4 linked regions of the Arabidopsis thaliana genome follow. The protein of the gene in region 1 interacts with the protein of each later gene in a pairwise test. Each region holds a gene or a part of one and is shown in the gene's direction. Other genes may lie near its edges.

What was found.
Region 2: the proteins of UBC32 (region 1) and LCV1 interact in a protein complementation assay, tested with the Arabidopsis thaliana proteins (one large-scale study listed by BioGRID).
Region 3: the proteins of UBC32 (region 1) and AT3G42725 interact in a protein complementation assay, tested with the Arabidopsis thaliana proteins (one large-scale study listed by BioGRID).
Region 4: the proteins of UBC32 (region 1) and AT3G59740 interact in a protein complementation assay, tested with the Arabidopsis thaliana proteins (one large-scale study listed by BioGRID).

The regions. Positions count from the first base shown.
Region 1 is NC_003074.8:5,794,597-5,800,779, forward strand, and holds UBC32 (ubiquitin-conjugating enzyme 32), read left to right. Parts: upstream 1-2,333; 5' UTR 2,334-2,699; coding exon 2,700-2,810; intron 2,811-3,298; coding exon 3,299-3,430; intron 3,431-3,528; coding exon 3,529-3,613; intron 3,614-3,752; coding exon 3,753-3,916; intron 3,917-4,433; coding exon 4,434-4,871; 3' UTR 4,872-5,151; downstream 5,152-6,183. Other genes in the region: NRPB9A (RNA polymerases M/15 Kd subunit), read left to right, coding at 213-288, 728-886, 1,023-1,103; AT3G16990 (heme oxygenase-like, multi-helical), read right to left, coding at 1,341-1,656, 1,752-1,969, 2,056-2,187; REM22 (AP2/B3-like transcriptional factor family protein), read left to right, coding at 5,864-5,968. UniProt on the Arabidopsis thaliana protein: Accepts the ubiquitin from the E1 complex and catalyzes its covalent attachment to other proteins.
Region 2 is NC_003071.7:8,689,188-8,694,707, reverse strand, and holds LCV1 (uncharacterized protein), read left to right. Parts: upstream 1-2,217; 5' UTR 2,218-2,473; coding exon 2,474-2,602; intron 2,603-2,950; coding exon 2,951-3,003; intron 3,004-3,079; coding exon 3,080-3,189; intron 3,190-3,271; coding exon 3,272-3,439; intron 3,440-3,528; coding exon 3,529-3,626; intron 3,627-3,767; coding exon 3,768-3,894; intron 3,895-4,008; coding exon 4,009-4,094; 3' UTR 4,095-4,415; downstream 4,416-5,520. Other genes in the region: RPT2b (AAA-type ATPase family protein), read right to left, coding at 48-188, 280-496, 601-770, 1,173-1,418, 1,499-1,972; COV1 (CONTINUOUS VASCULAR RING protein (DUF502)), read left to right, coding at 5,387-5,520.
Region 3 is NC_003074.8:14,842,149-14,846,316, reverse strand, and holds AT3G42725 (Putative membrane lipoprotein), read left to right. Parts: upstream 1-2,598; 5' UTR 2,599-2,626; coding exon 2,627-3,235; 3' UTR 3,236-3,468; downstream 3,469-4,168.
Region 4 is NC_003074.8:22,065,973-22,071,432, reverse strand, and holds AT3G59740 (Concanavalin A-like lectin protein kinase family protein), read left to right. Parts: upstream 1-2,374; coding exon 2,375-4,354; 3' UTR 4,355-4,446; downstream 4,447-5,460. Other genes in the region: AT3G59750 (Concanavalin A-like lectin protein kinase family protein), read left to right, coding at 1-49, 136-1,578.

The DNA.
Region 1 (6,183 bases):
TTGCACCTCTCTGCTCGTCTAGGTTTTTTCAAAGTTTCGAAATTTGCATGAATTTTTTAGTTTTTGTTGTTTACTTTTGATGTATTTCTTCCGTGGTTGAACCATCTATGGTTGATAAGGTGACAATTCGCTAAAAGTGAGTACCTTTTTTCGAATTTTGTTTTTGGGTCCTTTCTTAATTGCATTGTTGTTTCTGTTTGATTTTGGTTCAGTAATAACATTCTGTATCCTAAGGAGGACAAAGAACAGAAGATCCTCCTCTATGCTTGCCGTAATTGTGATCACCAGGTATAGCTTTTGGTCATTTTGTACCTTTTTTTTGTGTGGAAAAAGGGTTTTTAGTGTTCAATGTAGTGCACAAAATTGCGAGTGGGACTTAGTTTCATTGCAATTAAGAGACTTTAATGAAACTGTTTCCTGCTTTTATCTCTCTTTTAATGCTCCTAGTTTCCTTAGTTTTACCAACCTCTCTATTTACTAACTCCTTCAATTAAGGCTTAGCAAGTTCTTATGGTTTATCTTTCTAGTGTTGTGTTTATGAGATCTATATGAATACTTGAAGGGCCTCTTTTAGCTTATTGATTTACACAAACTGAGTAGTTATTTGCAATTTTTTAAGCTGCATTATCAATCTTGTTGTTACAAATTGACAGATTAGATTAGATCATGTAAATGGGTTTGTTGTCCTCATCTCAGAATTTATACTTTTTGTGGCACTGACTTGCAGGAGGTAGCTGATAACAGCTGTGTGTACAGAAACGAGGTTCATCACTCTGTAAGTGAGCGAACTCAGATCTTAACAGACGTGGCTTCTGACCCTACTCTTCCCCGAACCAAGGCTGTGCGTTGCTCTAAGTGTCAGCATAGGGAGGCCGTTTTCTTCCAGGTATAACTCTCTTAAGCTCCATTATTTATTTAACTACTTGGTTATGCTGTATCTTCACTGTTTGCTTCCCCAAAACATTATGCTCAAATTCTGTACACCGCTTGAGGATTTAATGTAGCTATCATTGAATGTGCAGGCTACGGCTAGAGGTGAAGAAGGAATGACACTGTTCTTTGTCTGTTGCAACCCGAATTGTGGTCATCGCTGGAGAGAATAAAGAGCTTTTCGGTTTCAATTGGTGAGTTCTTAAGAGTTTTAGGAGTTGATGTAGTTACCAGTAAGTGTAATATGTGGAATGACGGGAACAACCTTCTGCCCCAGTCAGAGACAAATCCGTATTCATGTAATCTGTTATGAAACCATAATCTCAACTTGTGTTTCACCAAACATAAAGATTGGAACTTGTTTCTCTTTGGCATTTAGAGGAAATGAGAAATTCAAACCCAAACATTAGCTACTGTCCTCCACGGCTCATCTCCCAGAAGGCAACCTCTAGTTCAAGAACTCGTACAAGTACATCTTCAGCTTCACCGAGCACCTCACCGGAGGCATTCTCCAGACAACGTTCGGCAATGTTCTTGACAGACGAACAATACTGTTTAAACCCGTCATTCCCCCAACGATGACAAGCACCGGTAAGCTCCACCGGAGTTTTGTTCCCGTCTTCTAAACAATGAGCAAAGCTCTCTTGATACACTGCTTCAATTGCCCAGAAAGCTGTCATAATCACCGGATACTTCACCTCACTGCTCATCAGATCTTCCAAAAACCTGAATTAACCAGAAACTCCGGTTTATTTGCTGGTTCCTAATTTCATTTTCGAGTGTGAGAAATCTATTCAATCAGCATATATGAAATCAATAACCTGCCATATTCTTGATTAGCTCTTTGAGGCACAACGGTCGAGAAATCAACATCCCATTTCGATCCTTCTCTTTTAAACCATTCTATTTCATCATTCAACGATGCTATACCACCAAGCACCACTTCCATATCGGAACTCTCGCCGGAATCTTTGCAAGCTCTGATCAACACACTCGCTACAAACGGCACAAACCTCCTCACGAACAGATAATCTTGCCCCTACAAGGAAACAACGTCGTTTAAAAGTCATCGAGTGAGATTTCATATTTTGCCTTGTTTTCATCAGTAATTACTAATTACAGTACCAGCCAAGTTCTGAAGGACGAGAGATCAACGGATCCGTCACGGATCGAGACGACAAAAGCATGACGTGTAGCCGCCGTATAGATCGAACGGTGCTTATCAATCCATGTGTCGATCACCCCTCTCTTCTCCATTGAAATTGCTTCTTCTTCCTTTCTCTCAAGACTCAAGACTCAAGACTCTTCTTCTTCACCGATTCACTGTCAACGCTTTGATTTTCTGTTGTCTGTGACGTGCACGTTTCATTGGGCTTTAAATTAATGGGCCAAGGCCTATTAAAGTCTCGCCACGATAGCTTAATGATTCTCCCAAATCGACGGCTGTAAAGAGGCGCTTAAATTTCTCAGATTACGTGACAGTTTCTGAACCGTTGAGATGTTTGGATGACTAAAGTTTATTAATTACGTGGCACTTACTCAGAAGCTCTCTCACGTCACGTATCCGTCGTTAAAGAGTGTGACGTGGAAAATGTTTTGGAATTAATTTTGTGTGTTTGTATTATATCACCGTACTAATTAGCTCATCTCCCGAAGCCATGTGGTAATTCTAATTTTGTGTATTTATTATTTTCTGTTAAGACGAATCGGACAGAGAGAACTCCGGCGGCGGATTGCACTTCCGGCAAGATCTCGTGGGGATAAATAAGATGGCGGATGAGAGGTATAATCGGAAGAATCCGGCGGTGAAGAGGATTTTGCAGGAGGTTAAGGAGATGCAAGCTAATCCGTCTGATGATTTTATGTCTCTTCCTCTTGAGGTAACATCTCCGATTCTAGCTTTTTAGATCGGGAATTTTGATTCGAATCTATATTTGAAATTTCCTTTTTTGAGAAAATCCCCTTGTCTTATGTTGTTGTGTTATGTTGTGTTGTGTTGTAATTGTGTATCTGTTCTGAGTGATGGTGTTTGATTTTAGGCGATCATGATTAGGGAGGATCGATATATCTTCTTGTATACACTGAATTTACTAAGTCTCTCTACTTTCAACACTCGTGCAACAGATAAAGTTTGGATTTTTGTGTTTTTATTGGAATAACTGAGTCAAGTGGGGAAGATTACGAACGATTCCTTGATCCACTCAGCTGTCATACTAGTTCTTCGTTTCTAATTTTTTTAACTGTGAAGACTTTTTCCAACATGTCATGGTCCAAATAGATTGCGCGCGATGTTATAGCTGTTTTTTACAAGTTCTTGTGTGATACCAAATAGTTTACATGATTACTCTTATCTATCTTTTAACTTCAGGAGAATATCTTTGAGTGGCAATTCGCCATCCGAGGTCCTGGTGATACTGAATTCGAGGGCGGGATTTATCATGGGAGAATTCAGTTGCCTGCAGATTATCCATTCAAACCTCCTTCATTCATGTTATTGACCGTAAGGATCTTACTCTTATTTCATATATAAAAACACACAGATGTTGCAAGTTCCATAAGAGAGTATGTATCTAAAGAATCTCTGTACTTTTGTTTCAGCCTAACGGGCGCTTTGAAACTAACACCAAGATTTGCTTGAGCATTTCAAACTACCACCCTGAGCATTGGCAACCTTCATGGAGTGGTAAAGTCATGGATCTCAAGAGACCTTATCTCTTGACTTTTATGTTGTTTCCTAAAAGATTACTCAGACACTTGTAATTTACATGAGGTTGAACTATATCAGCTCTTTTGTATTATGATTGAGCTTTGTTTCTTTTCAGTTCGGACTGCTTTGGTGGCTCTCATTGCATTTATGCCCACAAGTCCCAATGGAGCACTGGGCTCAGTAGATTATCCAAAGGATGAGAGACGTACACTAGCCATTAAATCACGTGAGACACCACCTAAGTATGGCTCTCCTGAACGGCAAAAAATTATTGATGAGGTATAGTTCCCCACTAGAATACCCTTGGGTGTTGAACCACTATGCATAATATCCTGATGAAAATATATGAATTTAGCTAGATGCTTGCTGAACCTGTAGAGTATGTGCCATACCATTGCATTGCATCATTATAAACCATAGGACTAGCTGGTGGTCAAAACGGGATCGCAATATATTATATATTAGGCTTGCATATCTCTAGCGGTTATGATTTAATGTTTGCTCTAAGAGTATCTGCTTTGTTTTAACTGCAATCACAGCTGTTATTATTCTCTCCATACAGTAAAATTTGCTGCTCAAGTCCTAACACACCATTTTACTGATTATTGTCGTTTTTAAAAAGTAGTCAGTTGCACAAATATAAAAAAAAAGACAATAGTAGTGTTAACAATCTCCTTTTGGTCTAAACTCTCGTCCCTTTCTTCATGATTTTTGTTATGACTTTAGTTTCATACCTCTGATTCATCTTCAATTTTGGAAAAAACTTTTAGTAACCATGACCTTTTAACAAGCGCAGATTCATCAGTACATCCTTAGCAAAGCAACCGTGGTTCCAAAACCTCTTCCTCTGGAATGTAGCCAAGCACCTTCCATCGTATCAGAAGCTCACTCCCAAGTTGAGCCACAGGAAGCGATAACTGTAGTAGAAGAGCGGTCCATCGCTACAACAGACACCATAGTTGATGATCAAATCATAGAAGAGACAGCTGAAGCAGTCAATACAGCAGCTAGTGTGGTTCCCGCTGCAGCACCTTTACCAGCGGTTGAAGTTGTGGTCAAAGCTTCTGTAAGTGGTGAGCAAAGGATGGCCAGAAGAGCGGCTCAGAAGCCAGTCGATGACAGACTCTTCACGTGGGCGGCGGTTGGGCTCACAATCGCTATCATGGTTCTTCTTCTGAAGAAGTTCATAAAATCAAATGGTTACAGTACTGGGTTTATGGATGATCAGTCTTGAACTCTGATGAAAGTCAATGCTGCGTTTAAGAAATGGGGTTGTGTTGTTTAATATTTTATAAATATAATTAAAGTGCATAATGGCGTAAATAATTTCTGTGTGACATTGTCTTGCAACTTAGTTGATAGATTGGATTATAGCTTGTGACCAAGTTAACAATATGTATTTTGGAATTGAACACTGACGACCGTTTTATCAATACATTGATGCTTTGTTAATAGAATTGTTGATTACCTCCACTATGTTCATAACTATTTCCCGTTTTGAGTACATGATGTCTAAAATGTATCCAAATTTTTAAATCAATAGATTTCATGGTCAAGTTTAACAATTTGATCATATATGTATGTATATGAACACACATGTAGTGAGTCGTGTGGTTTATATATTTGTGTGTATTTTCATTATAAATTACAGAAACATATTAGTTTTGGGGTATCTTCTGCACACATTAGTTTGGTGTGATCTCATCTTGTACCTTATTTTTTTACTTTTCAGTTTAGAAAAGGTTATCAACTTTGACCTTTGACTGCCATATAACGTTAAAAAGAGAAAAAGTTACCGAAGGTTCAAATTAATAAATGAAGTTGATCGTAATGAAAATAATATTTTTTTAAAAAAGAAGGGATGGTGGCAAAAGAAGCTAAGTTAAAAGTCTATCAGTCCTTATTGCTCAGGGATCCTCAGGTACTAAAACTAGCAAACACTGCTTTTGCGTGTCTTTGAAGTCAGATTTTTAACAGCAATTGTTTCATCTGCCTATTACTATAAAATAAAAAAACACTTTGATTTATGGGAACGTGACTGCTTTTTCCACTATTATAACCTTGACTCGTTTTTAATGAAAAGAAGCATACATATTTGGATACTCACTTTTGCCCATTTATAACACCAGAGAGAGAGATATAGGGATAGGGCGAGAGAGAGTTATACTAAAGAAACTTGAAGGAGAGGAGGTTCTGAGTGAGATAGAAGAAGGAAGAGAGAGAGAGATGGGTAAGAGTAGTAACATAGTTTTTGATCGGATTAAAGAAGAACGGCAGATGTTGAGCTTTTTCAAGATTTTTCAGAGGGCAGATCTATCCTCTGACTGCATGGTAACGTTGTTCTTGATATCTTTGTTTGAAAAGTGGGAATCTTTTTCTTCTTTTTGTTGAATGGGTTTCAAGTCTACGGCTTATTCATCTTTTGGTTCTCTTTGTTTTAAAGATTGCAACTGTTTTTCCTCTGAATCTTTTACGTTCTCTGTCTTTGAAACGTTGAATCTGTTGTTTCCCTGGTGTTTTAAGGGTCTCAGCTTCTCGAGGGTTGA
Region 2 (5,520 bases), on another chromosome or scaffold:
AGATTGCGTTCGATGAATCAAGTGGTGAGAAGCCAGAGAATCCTTACTTTCATCCGACGCTCTCTAAGAGCAAGCAGACCAGCTTCTGTGCATATTGCCTTTATATCAGCTCCTGAGAACTCGTCTTTTGTCATTACAAACTCTTCTAAGTTCACATCTTCAGCCAAAGTCATCTTTGATGTGTGTATCTAATAATGGCATGCAATTAAAAACCGATCAGATCTTTCTAGAAAATTCACAAAAAAAGAAAGAAAACTTAAGGATCACCAGTTGTGGAACCTGGAAGATACGTCTTCTTGTTTTGATATCTGGAAGAGGGAATTCGATTTTCCTGTCGATCCGGCCTGGTCTAAGAAGTGCCGGGTCAAGACTCTCGATCCTGTTTGTCGCGAGAATAACCTTAACATCTCCTCTTGAATCAAACCCATCAAGCTGGTTCAGTAGTTCCAACATGGTTCTTTGGATTTCACGTTCCCCACCTGAGTTTGCGTCATACCTGTTTCAACCACCATTTTATATCACATATTAGATACCATCTCTTGAGCAAAATCAAGAACATTGTTTATCAATGGATCATGTTTATGTTGTATTTAGGCATACCGCTTGGTGCCAACAGCATCAATCTCGTCTATGAAAACAATAGAAGGAGAAAGGTCATCAGCAACCCTGAAAAGTTCCCTCACAAGCTTGGGACCATCTCCTAAATACTTCTGAATCAGTTCACTACCGACAACACGCAAGAAAGTAGCTGAAGTAGAATTTGCCACTGCCTGAAAGAATAACAAGAAATAACACTTGCTCATCTCCAACAGTTCCGAATTTAACAAGCATAAGAGACACATTAAAAAGAGGCACACTGCAACAATCCATGCTTGCGACATAGACAAAAAGAAAACGAAGACATTAAATCAATCCACGTGACTCTGAAAATCTTCCTCTATCTACACAAGTACTATGATCTAATATCTCAATTCTAGGTGATCAAACCAAAGAAGCCACTGTCCTGACTAATTCATCTTTCTAGTGAAGATTGATAAAAGACAGAAAATTTTGCATGCATGACTTGACATAAAACCAATCATACTTGGGAAGTACCATTATGTGCTGTATTAAGCAATTAACAACTAGAAAGCTTATTATATAATGGATACACTATAGGCTAAAAGACGAACCTTAGCAAGCAATGTCTTCCCAGTGCCTGGCTCACCATACAAGATCACACCTTTTGGTGGCTTAATTCCAATATCTTCATACAGCTCGGGATGTGTTAAAGGTAACTCAACAGCTTCCTTAATCTCCTGAATCTGAGCTTCTAAACCTCCAATGTCAGCATATGACTCCAAAGGAGCCTTCTCCACTTTCATCACAGACACCATTGGATCCACTTCATCTTGAAGAATCCCAACAACAGAGAGTACCTATCACAAAAATAATAAAAAATATCACATAGAAGAATTGGTTCAACGTTTCCATGGAAGAGCATTGTAAAACTCAATACCTTGTTATGCATCAAAATAGAGCAGCCAGGTTCAAGCTGATCCTTATCAACGAAAGACAAAATGCCAACGTAGTACTCAGGACCAACCGAAGAAGAAACAATGGCGTGATTCTCATCAATAAGCTCTTCAAGATTGCCAACACTCATAGGTGTACCACGAAGATCATCAACTTTAGATCTATCTTCCTCAGCTTTCTCTTCCTGAGGTTTCAATCTCTCCTGATTCGCTACGAACTCTTCCTCCATAAGCAAATAGTCCTTGATTCGCTCCAATTTCAGCAATCGAAGCTTACATTTAGTAGAAGGAGTCACCGTCGGCAATCTCGCCGCCGCTTCAGGTCCTTTCTGCTTCCGTTGCTTCCTCCCTACACGAGCAGGTGGTGCGGCTGGTTCGAACTTCTTCTCCTTCTTCTCTCCACCATCTGGTTTCCGATCTCCTTGCCGATTCAATCCGCCGGAAGGTCCTTGACCCATTGTGCTTCGTCTCTCTGAGGTTTCTTGCTCTCGGAGAAACAAATCTTTTAATCTGATAACGGGAGGAGATGATTAAAGTGGGCTTATTATTTTAGGCCTTTTTACGATGTGAAAAACTTAGTGGGCCTTAGGTATCGCAAATTTTTTTAAAACTGATTCAACCTAAGCTATTATCTGGTTTAGTTCAATAACTCGGTTTAATTATCTTTAATTTCGGTTTAAGTTTTGTAAAAGTCAATTCGTTGGTTTGGTAGTTGGTACGGTCAATCGGTACAGGTAAGGAACTTTTCTTTTGCCATTTGGGGAAATCGAATCAAAAATCAATTTCATCGTCTTCTCTATCTGTCATTCATCATCATCACAATCATCATCATCAAATCTCAGGATCTTCGAGGTGGTTCTTCTGTTTCGCAACTAGCTTCTAGATTGTGATTTACAATCTTCGAACTCTCGGTGAGTTTCTAGGTTTAGGGTTTTATCTCTCTTTACACGACAATTGTTATGGCCAATCGAGAAAGAGATCGAGAGCTTCTGATTCCCGTCGCTGATTTCGGCGACAAAGACGATGGTTCTTCTTCGAAGCCTTCTTCTTCTTCCTCTGCTTCTTCTTCGCATCAATCCGGCCACGAGGTCTAGTTTTTGTCACCTGATCTAAAAACGTGTTCTTCGTTTTCTCATTTCAAGATTCATGCGAAACTAACAGTAGAATTGGATGATAGTTATTCATAGATTTGGTCGATTCTGTCTCCCCTTAGTTCAAAATCTTGGAACTTGTTTTGCCCTAGATTCAGTATATCACAAGAACACTTGCTTAGATAAGTTTGGTAGTTGTGATTGAGTAGAGTATGAATTTGCATTCCAAGTTGTTGTGGTTGGAATCATTCAGATTCTTGAGTCTTTGTATTATGCTCATTCATGTTTTCAAGCATGTATAACTTATAGAGCATTGTGGCCTGATGCTTTAGCTCTTTTCTGCAGACTTTAAGCTTGTTCATTAGGGGTTGGGCGTCAAAGAAGTTCATGACAGGCTGGTAAGGAAGAGTTGAAATTTTGGCATTTGATGAAAACTTCCACAGATTAGTTTTAAGTCTCCATTGCTTTTTGCAGTGTTATCCTACTTCCTATTGCAGTTACTTTCTATACAACATGGTGGTTTATTCACTTTGTCGATGGATTCTTCTCTCCAATATATGCACTACTTGGAATCAACATATTTGGTAAGAATTTGAATGGCCCCTCTTTATCCTATTAACAACTTGATATCGGTTTCCCACAATGAGTTTGATTATTGTTTTGTAGGTTTCGGTTTTTTGACTTCCATTGCATTCATCTTCTTGGTTGGGGTGTTCATGTCTTCGTGGTTGGGGGCATCGGTTCTGAACTTGGGAGAGTGGTTTATCAAGCGGATGCCATTTGTTCGTCACATCTACAACGCCTCCAAGCAAATCAGCACTGCCATATCGCCTGGTCTAGCTTGCTTATAAAAATCTTGTTTTGCTTCTCAACATTAAGTTGATCTCCTATCTCATCTTGTTCTTATCCATTTCTCATCACAGATCAAAATACACAAGCTTTCAAGGAAGTTGCAATCATCAGGCATCCCCGTGTAGGTGAATATGCATTTGGCTTCATTACATCAACTGTTGTTCTCCAGGTGAGTGAAAATACTTTGCTCAAGGATTTTGTTATTCTTTCCAGAACGTCTCCTTGAGGATACAAACAATTTCGAGTTATATGGTTTACCATAATTTCGTAATCTTTTTACCCAATGTAATAATGCTATTCGTTCTTGCAGAACTACCCAACCGAGGAGGAACTTTGCTGTGTATACGTTCCCACGAACCACCTTTACATTGGAGATATACTACTTGTCAACAGTAATGACGTTATCAGGCCAAACCTCTCTGTCCGGGAAGGAATTGGTGAGATTTCAGAATCTAATTGTCTATACTAGATACATTTATCGTTTGTTATATAGCATTCAAATTATTTTGTGGAAAGATACTGAACACTGTATACTCATTCTTCATCTGCAGAGATTGTTGTTTCCGGGGGAATGTCAATGCCGCAGATTCTATCGACTCTTGATAAACCTTTGGCCTCGATTGGAAATGAATCTTAAAGTGACTATTCAAAAACCTTTGGCCGATCGATAGGAAAAAATAAAAAATCAGAAGAGACGTTTCACAAAATCTGAGCGAATAGAGAAACCAAAAAACACAGAAAAATTTGTCGAGAAGTGTAATTTGTCAATATTATTTGAATAACCTTGTTTTCTTTTAGCCCTTTTAAAAATAATTTTTTTTCTTTTCTTATAGATTATAATTTGTATCCGCGTCCTTGTGTCTTTCATATTACTGTCGCATTGACTTTATAACAAAAAGATAATCAAAGATAATCCCACCCTAATAATAATCACATGACAAATGGCAATATCGTTTTACATATTAGGGAATAGTATAAAATGTGGTATATATAGAGAGACATTGTTGATCGAAGAAAAAAATGGTCTAACATTTCTCTGTCTAGCTCTTCTTTTGATCTCAGGTACGTTTTGTTTCCAACATGTTACTAATTCTTATGGTGAAATAAAATACTGCAGCTAAAAATGTATCGACCAAAATTTTCTTAGAGGAGGATTGTGCTTAGCACCTGACCTAATTATGAATCTTCATTTCTCTGCCTTTGTAAACTTTAATTTATTTTAGAACTTTATCTCATATAGAAATCTCAAATATATATATATTATAGTTTTTGCTTAACTTTTATATTTAAAATAAATCTGAAAGTTGTAAGAAAATTATTTTCCATATCAGATTTAACATTGGGTGCAGTCTTGGGAAAATATATAATCGTTAGAATAATTTTCTCTTTTAATGTGATAATTCGAAGACGTATGTAACAAACAAAAATGACAATAATAAATATTACAGTATAAATCATTTAAAACATATACTATAATTAGTTATTTTTTGCTTAAATATGATGGAATTGTTTTGATATTGCTTAAGAATCAAAAATGTTTTACTCTAGATAATAAAATATTTATTGTAAAGTTTATTTTTACGATGAATGTATATGATTTCAAGTAGAACAAATAAATTTTTGATATATTAATTCACAACAATAAAATTAATCTTTTCATCTTTTGAAAATAATTTGTATACAGTAATTTGAAACAAAAATTAATCATGTTATAATTAAGAAAAGGATAAATAAAAGAAGACAGATATAAAAAGAAAAATCCAAAAACGACAGAGAGCTCAAGTTGGAGTTAGCTAAGCTTAGCTACAAAAGAACAGTCGCCGGCAAAAGTCTCAGCCTTTTTCCTCTCCGCCGTTCACAGTTCACCGGCATTTCTCTCTTCTTTCTTTTTCTCCGACTAGATTTCCTTGTCTCTTTGGTTTCTTGGCGATGGGAGACGAGAAGCCGGTGATTGTTATGGCCAATCGAGAAAGAGATCGAGAGCTTCTGATTCCCGTCGCTGATTCCGGCGACAAAGACGACGGTTCTTCTTCGAAGCCTTCTTCTTCTTCCTCTGCTTCTTC
Region 3 (4,168 bases), 9.0 Mb from region 1:
TAGTTGTTGAGCATCGTAAGGAGTTTGGAATTTTGCTATCCTCCCCAAAGTACGGGTAAAGGACACCCTTCCCCATGGGTATTTGCAGAAGAACTCCAGGTTCTTCGTCATCTCGACAGTCTTCGAAGTAGCCCTGTTGGGGTTACTGTGGGCCGCTACCACACCGTCTACCAAAATAATAAGAGATAGTGCCAGTTGCTTCCACCCCTCCATGCTTTCCTCCTCCTGCAGCCAGCTCACCAAATCAGCAATTGTTGGAACCGTGTCCCCAAACCTCTCATCGAACAGAGTCTTCCAAACACTCTCACACTCAGGTTTCACACTGATAACATCCTCCACGTCTTTCTTCTTGGGATACTTCCCACATTCCAGCCCAGTTAGGATACTAAATTCTCTTAATCCAAATCTGATTGGATGACCACCGAATACAATCCACATCTCATTCACCTTCTTTGTCACTAACTGACAGCATATTAGTCCAAGGACAAGCTTAGCATTGAAAGATGCCTTGTTTTTGGGTATTTTAAAAAGTTCCCCAAATGGAGAATCGAGAAGAAACTGCATCTCTGGTTTCCCCTTTAGTACATTTGCTATGTTAGAAATGTACTCCGGTTTAGAGTACGCGTTCATCTTTGTCTCGGAAGGGTACCGGTCTATAGCAAAGAGTCTTGGTGGTAACTCTTCAACTGTAAGATCTTCAATCGGAGCAACACTTGGACTACCTGCAATTAAACGTGATATATTGTTAAGCAAACCGAAGTAGTGTACGTACACAGACATTTTCCAGATTATAACTCAAAATCATATTTTTGGCGGAAACAGAGATTTCCAATTCTACTTCTCAATTTTTCATCCTAAAGATATGCTAAATTCCGACTAGTTCTAACCCTTTAATCAAACAAGCTTTACAATTCTGATACACCCAAAGAAAACAAACGGTAAATTAGAGATTCTAACCCAGTTCCTCCGTTGCCTTTGTCGCAGAGCGTTTTCTCTGCGGGGAAACTCTTAATACCCGCTTCTCCTTCCCTGGACCATGCTGCTTCCTCGGGACTTCTTCGTTTGCTTTATTCCCAGCCATAGCTAAAGTTGCTATCTCGCCGGAGGTTCAAATTTCGTCGGAATAAACAGTAACTTTTTCTTGGCTTCGCCGGGAAAAACAGTAACTTTCTCTTCCCCGGATGTGGGAGTTCAGTGACTCAATTCAACTACCCAACAATTCGAAGTTATGTCGAATTTTGAAACAATGGATACTGAATTTCGTTTCGCTTTCTAATTCTCTCTCAAATCTCTCCGTTACTCTCTTCTCTTTTTCTTTTTCTTCGGTTTCTTCGTTTCAGTTTTTTTGTTTTGTCTTTTTCAAAACTGAACCGCATCAACTAAACCGAAACCAACTGCTGTAGGGTTTGGTTTATGCCATCAACTGAACCGATACGAACTGCTGCACGGTTTGGTTTGTGCCATTATTAAGTTTTCCCAAGGTAATTTGGTCCGAAATTGAATGAAAAGACAAACCGTAAAAACCAGTTCTCACTTTGACAAACGGTGAGAGCAAATCTTTTTTCGTCCACTTCTGTAAATTTTTTTTTAATGGTTAGTTTGCTTTTAATATTAAAATATTAAATATATTGGTTTTGAGACACTAAAAAAATAATTATGCAATGAGAATGCTCTAATGGTCTAATCTATGGTTTTCCGTTGATTAATACAAACCTTATTTTTTATTACTTGTGTCAAATTTCACCGTCCTATTTTTGGTGTCTTCAAACATCTTTGTTTTATGTTTACCTTTTTTGTTTTAATTATATTATTAAAGATTGTGTCTTGGTTTGAAGGAAAGAAAAATCTTTAGATGCATATTCTATTGTTTTTAAGCTCTTAATTTTTTATTAGAGTTTCAATTGGCTTAACTACAGTGACAAATAAAAGAATTAATGATCGATTGTGTTTCGACGATGATTTTTTTACCGAAATATATACCCAACGACCAAGGTTGATCTTGGAAATCGTACGATTACTCATCGAACACATGTTGTTTTGCACGCAGTTGTTGACACGTGGGTTTGGATGGAGTCAAGACACAATTTCTTTTGCAGTTAAACAGTAATCTTATAAGCTCATATTGTACCTCAATATTTTTATAATCTTTTTTGGGATTTTTGGTATAGTCTATGTATATGTAAATAAAATATTAAAATATTGCAATTGAGAAAGAAGAAAAATTTAAATATTTTAGATGCTTAAAAAATACAATTGACATAAAAGAGTATTTTATGGACAACATGAAATATATCAAAAATAATAATCCTTTTCAAATTTCTATTCGAGTAGCAATTTAGTTTTAGGTCTTTGAGAAGAAAAGAAAAAAAAAAGCAATTTAGTTTCAGGCATTTATGTAAACAATAATGATAAAATAGTATTACTAATTCAAATATATACGACCGTCATTTTCGTGAGGCTAAAGGTCAAAAATCTATTACAATACTTTTGTGAAGCCCATTATGTCAATATAACCGTTAAACCTCATCATAGCCGTTACATCTTCTCCCCAACGGGCGCTTAGTTTCTTACTTTACCTATATAAAACTTGAAACAAACAAAAAAAACATAATTTCACAAAACATCAATGGCTTCTTTTCACAGAAAGTTATGTTTGTTCCAAAACATTCTCGTATCGTGTCTGAATTTCACTCTCCTCCTCCTCTCCCTCTGTTCTTTCGTACCAATCATTCTTCTTAGAAACCCTCCAACTTCACTCGGTTTAGCCTTCCTCGCAGTCTCACTCGTCTCTCTGATCTCCTCTTTCGGTAGTGCCTCTTCGCACCAATCTCGATCATGTTTCATCGCGCGGATAACGCTTCATGTTTCCTCACTGACGGGTCAGTTTATTGCAGTTTTAATGTTGTTTAGTAGAGAGAAACAGAGTCTTTCTTTGCTGATATCGACTCGAGACCCTAGAGAGGCTAAAGCTTTGGTTAGAGTAGAATGTGGTGTTTTCGTGGCGATGATTCCGTTACAGATAATGGTTCTAGTGCTGGCTTGTTTGTTACATTGTTATTGGGTTAGAGAGTTCGAAGGGTTAGATGTTGAGAGTGAAGATTCTTTTAGAAGAAAATGTAACCGAAGAGTCTCGACCGCTGAAGATGGGACTAGTTCGGATTTAAAGAAAATGGAGTTGGACGAGAAGATGAATGTGAAACATGTTCAGTGGGTTAAAACAGATTTCGAAGGTTAAAGTGTTTTTATGAATCTATAGTTTGTGATTATTGTTCAAACTTCAAAGTTATATTTTATGTCTTAGTTAAGAAAATTATTTATTTGCTGTTACAAAACTTTGTTAGGTTTTCTACAATGTTGTAAGTAATATGTATGGCTACTTGAATTGTCCTAGTAATGGTTGATCTTGTATTTTTTTCTCTCGTACATCCACCATTAGTGGGTAATTTACATACATACACTAGTACAAAGATGCATGTATTTATTTTGCATTCTTTCATAACCATAAGAAAGATGTCTTAATATCATCATACTACGATCCATTAGCTGTTCCTAAGATCTCAGAGATTCAAAGCAAATTATTCGGCTCAACGATCAAACACATCCTAATGTAAAAAGAAGAAGAACCAAAAACAACCTAATCCAAAAGGGAAAAGCACCAAAAACCTAACTAGAAACTCTTTAAGACTGGACTCGGGTTTTGGAAACCTCTACGGTTGTATGTGATACCGTATCTCGTATCAATATCTTGACCTTGGGTGAGGTGGTGGCAAGCTTCAACAGGTTCTTCAATATCTTGAGCTTGGGTGAAGCGGTGGCAAGCTTCAACAGATTCTTCAATATCTTGAGCTTGGGTGAAGCGGTGGCAAGTTCCAATAGATCCTTTGTGAGTTGCACCTTTTGGGGGTCATCCATTGGAGATGACAACTTTCACAACTTCAAGACACTCCATTTCCAGTAAGAAATGGCTAATCTGTTTCAGCACGTGTGCACTTCCTTGATAATGCATGATACTCAATATCTTTACTTGGTTATTTGTGGGAATATGAATCCCCACAAACCGATTTCTTTTAAATATGTAACGATGCAGACCCTGAAACATCAAGAAGAGACACTACTTTAATGTAATGCCAGTCATATTATTAAGTAAGATTTCTTAAGGGTTTGCTTC
Region 4 (5,460 bases), about 16 Mb from region 1:
ACAAAAAGACCAAGAGTTCGGAGATATTGATGATAATCATGTTGCAATGGTTTGACATCTGTTGTTTCTGCTTCTGCTGGTTACTATGATGATAAAGATGGAATCTTCAGAAATCTTTCTTTGATCAGCGGAAAGGTAATGCGGCTTTCTATCGTTTATAGTCATCCTGATCAACAGCTCAATGTTACTTTATTCCCGGCTGAGATCCCTGTTCCGCCACGGAAACCACTGCTGTCTTTGAATCGAGATCTCTCCCCGTATTTTTTGGAGGAGATGTATTATGGCTACACGGCATCGACTGGATCCATTGGAGCATTTCATTATATGTTGAGTTCGTACGCTACTCCAAAAGTTGAGAATCCAACATGGGAGTTCATCGTAGTCCCAACCCTTCCTCCATATCCGAAGAAATCGTCTGACAGAACAAAGAAGATTTTAGCGGTCTGCTTAACGCTTGCTGTGTTCGCTGTGTTTGTCGCCTCGGGAATCTGTTTTGTCTTCTATACGAGGCATAAGAAGGTTAAGGAGGTTCTTGAGGAATGGGAGATTCAATATGGACCTCATAGGTTTGCCTATAAGGAGCTTCTCAATGCCACAAAGGATTTCAAGGAGAAACAACTTCTTGGAAAAGGAGGCTTTGGTCAAGTCTTTAAAGGAACGCTCCCGGGTTCCAATGCAGAGATCGCTGTAAAACGGACTTCTCATGATTCAAGACAAGGCATGAGCGAGTTTCTAGCCGAGATATCGACCATTGGTCGTCTCAGGCATCCAAATCTAGTCAGGCTTCTGGGATATTGTAGGCATAAGGAGAATCTCTACTTGGTTTATGACTTTACGCCCAATGGAAGCCTTGACAAGTATCTAGACCGTAATGAGAATCAAGAACGGCTCACTTGGGAACAACGTTTCAAGATCATCAAAGATGTTGCATCTGCTCTACTACACCTGCATCAAGAATGGGTACAAATCATCATTCATAGAGATATCAAACCAGCTAATGTCCTAATCGACCACGAAATGAATGCAAGGATCGGGGATTTCGGATTGGCAAAGCTGTATGATCAGGGACTTGACCCTCAGACATCTAGAGTAGCGGGAACATTTGGTTATATCGCACCTGAGCTCCTAAGAACAGGAAGAGCGACCACAAGCACTGATGTTTATGCCTTTGGGTTGGTAATGCTTGAAGTTGTTTGTGGTAGAAGAATGATTGAGCGACGTGCACCGGAAAATGAAGAAGTTCTTGTGGATTGGATCTTAGAGCTTTGGGAAAGTGGGAAACTTTTCGATGCAGCTGAGGAAAGTATCCGTCAAGAACAAAACAGGGGAGAAATCGAGCTTCTTTTGAAGCTAGGTCTGTTGTGTGCACATCACACTGAACTGATTAGACCGAACATGAGTGCGGTTATGCAGATCTTGAATGGCGTTTCGCAGCTTCCAGATAATCTTCTTGATGTCGTAAGAGCTGAGAACTTGAGAGGAATGCCTGAAACATCAATCGAAGTACTACTTGGTCTTAATCTGTATTCAGTTGGTACAATGACATTAACAAATTCTTTCTTGTCCCATGGACGCTGAAACCGTTAAAGAAGTTAGTTTGAATGAACAGTTACATTCAAGCTTTTGTATCGTCTATTTGATGAATCACTACATTAGGGTTTCTTTATCTTGAATCAGTAAAGCCTTCCGTTTCATCCCCAAGTTCTTATATCTTAAATTTTTAGGACTCAACATATAATATGTTTTGTATTTTCTGCTTTCAAAGTTTTCTTGTTGGATTTGTTTAAGAAACCGAACTTTCAAGAGCAATGGCGTCAAAACAAAATGGCGTGAATTGCCAAATCAGTGACATATAACCAAAAACATTCTAAACTACTTTGATGTTGTTACACTACATAGGATTAATCTCAATATATAATGATCAAACCATGACAAATTAGTGACATATAACTTCACTTTTGCCTTCAGACCAGTAGAGAATTTGTTAGAATCTACACTAAATTAAAAATGTTAAACATACGTTGTTTTTTCTACAAAATGGTTGTGGAAAAATAGCTTTGTTGGATTGCTGCTTTTTAATTATGCTTTTCACACTGTTGTTATTAGTAATTTAATACTTCAAAGTATTAAGATCGTAGAAAAGTTCTGTCTTTTGACGACACGCTCTACCAGTCCCACTATAATTGCTTTACGACTTGATCTAGCTCATGTGCTTAAATACATATGTTTTTTTATTACTAACGAAGAATAACAAAAATAAAAAGAAAAAAAGAACGTTGGGTTCCCATTATTTTCGACCGTAATTCTTATGAGATGATAAATATTACATTAAGATCATAACCTTCCCATAAGCCAAAAAATAACAAACAAGAACATGTCTCATAAAGTCTTACAAATAGTTCTCGTTCTGTTGCTTACTCTGTTTTCATCTACTCACAACTCCAATGGCAACTTCCTCATGGAAGAAGCTGCAGCTGCAGGTTTAAACGGTTATTGCCTTTTAACAAACACCACGAAGCATTCCTACGGTCAAGCTTTCAACAACACTCCCGTTCCCATCAAGAACTCATCTTTCTCATTCAACATCATCTTCGGGATCGTCCCTGAACATAAGCAGCAAGGTTCACACGGTATGGCTTTCGTTTTCTCTCCTACAAGAGGCCTTCCCGGAGCTTCCCCCGATCAATACCTGGGAATCTTTAACGAGACAAACAACGGTAAAGCCTCGAATAACGTTATAGCTATCGAGTTAGATATACGAAAAGACGAAGAGTTTGGAGATATTGATGATAATCATGTTGGGATTAACATTAATGGTTTGACATCTGTTGCCTCTGCTTCTGCTGGTTACTATGATGATGAAGATGGAAACTTCAAAAAGCTTTCTTTGATCAGCACAAAGGTAATGAGGCTTTCCATCGTTTATAGTCACACCGATAAACAGCTCAATGTTACTTTATTACCTGCTGAAATCTCTGTTCCGCCACAAAAATCGCTCTTGTCTTTGAACCGAGATCTCTCGCCCTATTTTTTGGAGGAGACGTACTTGGGTTTCACGGCATCGACCGGGTCGATCGGAGCACTCTATTATGTGATGCAATTTTCCTATGAAGAAGGAGTTATATATCCAGCATGGGACCTTGGCGTAATCCCAACCCTTCCTCCATATCCAAAGAAGTCGTATGATAGAACACGGAGGATTTTAGCGGTCTGCTTAACGTTGGCCGTGTTCACTGCATTAGTCGCTTCCGGAATAGGTTTTGTCTTTTATGTGAGGCATAAGAAGGTTAAGGAGGTTCTTGAAGAATGGGAGATTCAGAATGGACCTCATAGGTTTTCTTATAAGGAGCTTTTCAATGCCACAAAGGGTTTCAAAGAGAAACAACTTCTTGGGAAAGGAGGCTTTGGTCAAGTCTACAAAGGAATGCTTCCGGGTTCCGATGCAGAGATCGCTGTAAAACGGACTTCTCATGATTCAAGACAAGGGATGAGCGAATTTCTAGCCGAGATATCGACCATTGGTCGTCTCAGACATCCAAATCTAGTCAGGCTTTTGGGATATTGTAAGCATAAAGAGAATCTCTACTTAGTTTATGACTTTATGCCTAATGGAAGCCTTGACAGGTGTCTAACCCGTAGCAACACGAATGAAAATCAAGAACGGCTTACTTGGGAACAACGTTTCAAGATCATCAAAGACGTTGCAACTGCTCTACTACACCTGCATCAAGAATGGGTACAAGTCATCGTTCATCGAGATATAAAACCGGCTAATGTTCTACTCGACCACGGCATGAATGCGAGGCTCGGGGATTTCGGATTGGCGAAGCTGTATGATCAGGGATTTGATCCTCAGACATCTAGAGTAGCGGGAACATTAGGTTATATTGCACCTGAGCTCTTAAGAACAGGAAGAGCAACCACAAGCACAGATGTTTACGCCTTTGGGTTGGTTATGCTTGAAGTCGTTTGTGGTAGAAGATTGATTGAGAGACGTGCAGCAGAAAATGAAGCGGTTCTTGTTGATTGGATTTTAGAGCTTTGGGAAAGTGGGAAACTTTTCGATGCAGCTGAGGAAAGTATTCGTCAAGAACAAAACAGAGGAGAAATTGAGCTTGTTTTGAAGCTAGGTCTGTTGTGTGCACATCACACTGAATTGATTAGACCGAACATGAGTGCGGTTTTGCAGATCTTGAATGGCGTTTCGCATCTTCCCAATAATCTTCTTGATGTTGTTAGGGCTGAGAGATTGAGAGGAATTCCTGAGACATCAATGGAAGTACTACTTGGTCTTGATCTGAATTCTTTTGGTACAATGACGTTGACGAATTCTTTTGTGTCCCATGGACGCTGAAACCATAAAAATAAGTTAGTTTTGATCAAACATTTATATTCCATCGGGAGCTTCTGTATCCGTCTATTTGATAAATGAGTACATGTTTCTGTATCTTTGAATCATGAATGCCTTCCAATTCATCCCTAAATTTCTAGGGTTTACTTTTAGGGTTATAATATGTTTGTTTCATTCTTGCTTTCAAAGTAATCTTGTTCGAATTTGTTTATAAAACCAAATTTTCAAGAGCAATGACTTATAACTTAATTAACTTTTTTTTTTCTGTAGACCAATACAAAATCTGTTAAACTTTACATTAAAACATGTCAAAAAACTTATTTTTTTTACATTTTATGGTCAACACGTTGGTTGTTAAACTTACATTGTTTATCCATTTCTACGCTCCGTAATGTTCGACGGATTAGGTTGTAGAAAAGATAAGAGAAGCTTTTTTGACCTTTTTATTTCTTTGGTAGAGATCTGAGAAGAAAAGTTTTTTTGATTATTGCTTATTATGCTTTCCACTATAATCGCTATTTAATCTTAGCAAGAATTAGAAGATTTGTTTTCTTATAATTGATTTACGACTTTATCTTGGCCATGCACAGTGCGTAATTACTAAATAGTGTACATGTGTTTTTTCTCTCTTAAGTTTGCTTACTTATCTTAGTTCGTTGGCCGCATATAACATGAATATTCATTAGATAAATAATTAACAGCAATAGGTAAACAGCAACAATAACAATAGTTTAAGTCCTAAGACTAATCAACACATTAATGGAACGATAAGAAGAGATTCAAGAGAATAATTAACAATAATGTTTTGTAAAAAGAAGAAAAAAAATACAAAAAGCAAATAGGATGTCATAATCTCATAACCAATATAGCAAAATTTCAGTAGTAAAATAGGTTTGCAAACCTAACATGGGTCCGCTTCTACACTCTGACAATCCCACAATAATTGCTATTATTAATTGAAAAATGATCAGAAGATTATTTGTTTATTGTGTTGCGGTTTGATCATCTAGGCCATGTGGGTAATTAAATACAAACTACATATGTTTATGACATGACCAGTTTCGTTCACATTATATTGGCTTGATCATATTCATACAGTTTTACTTATT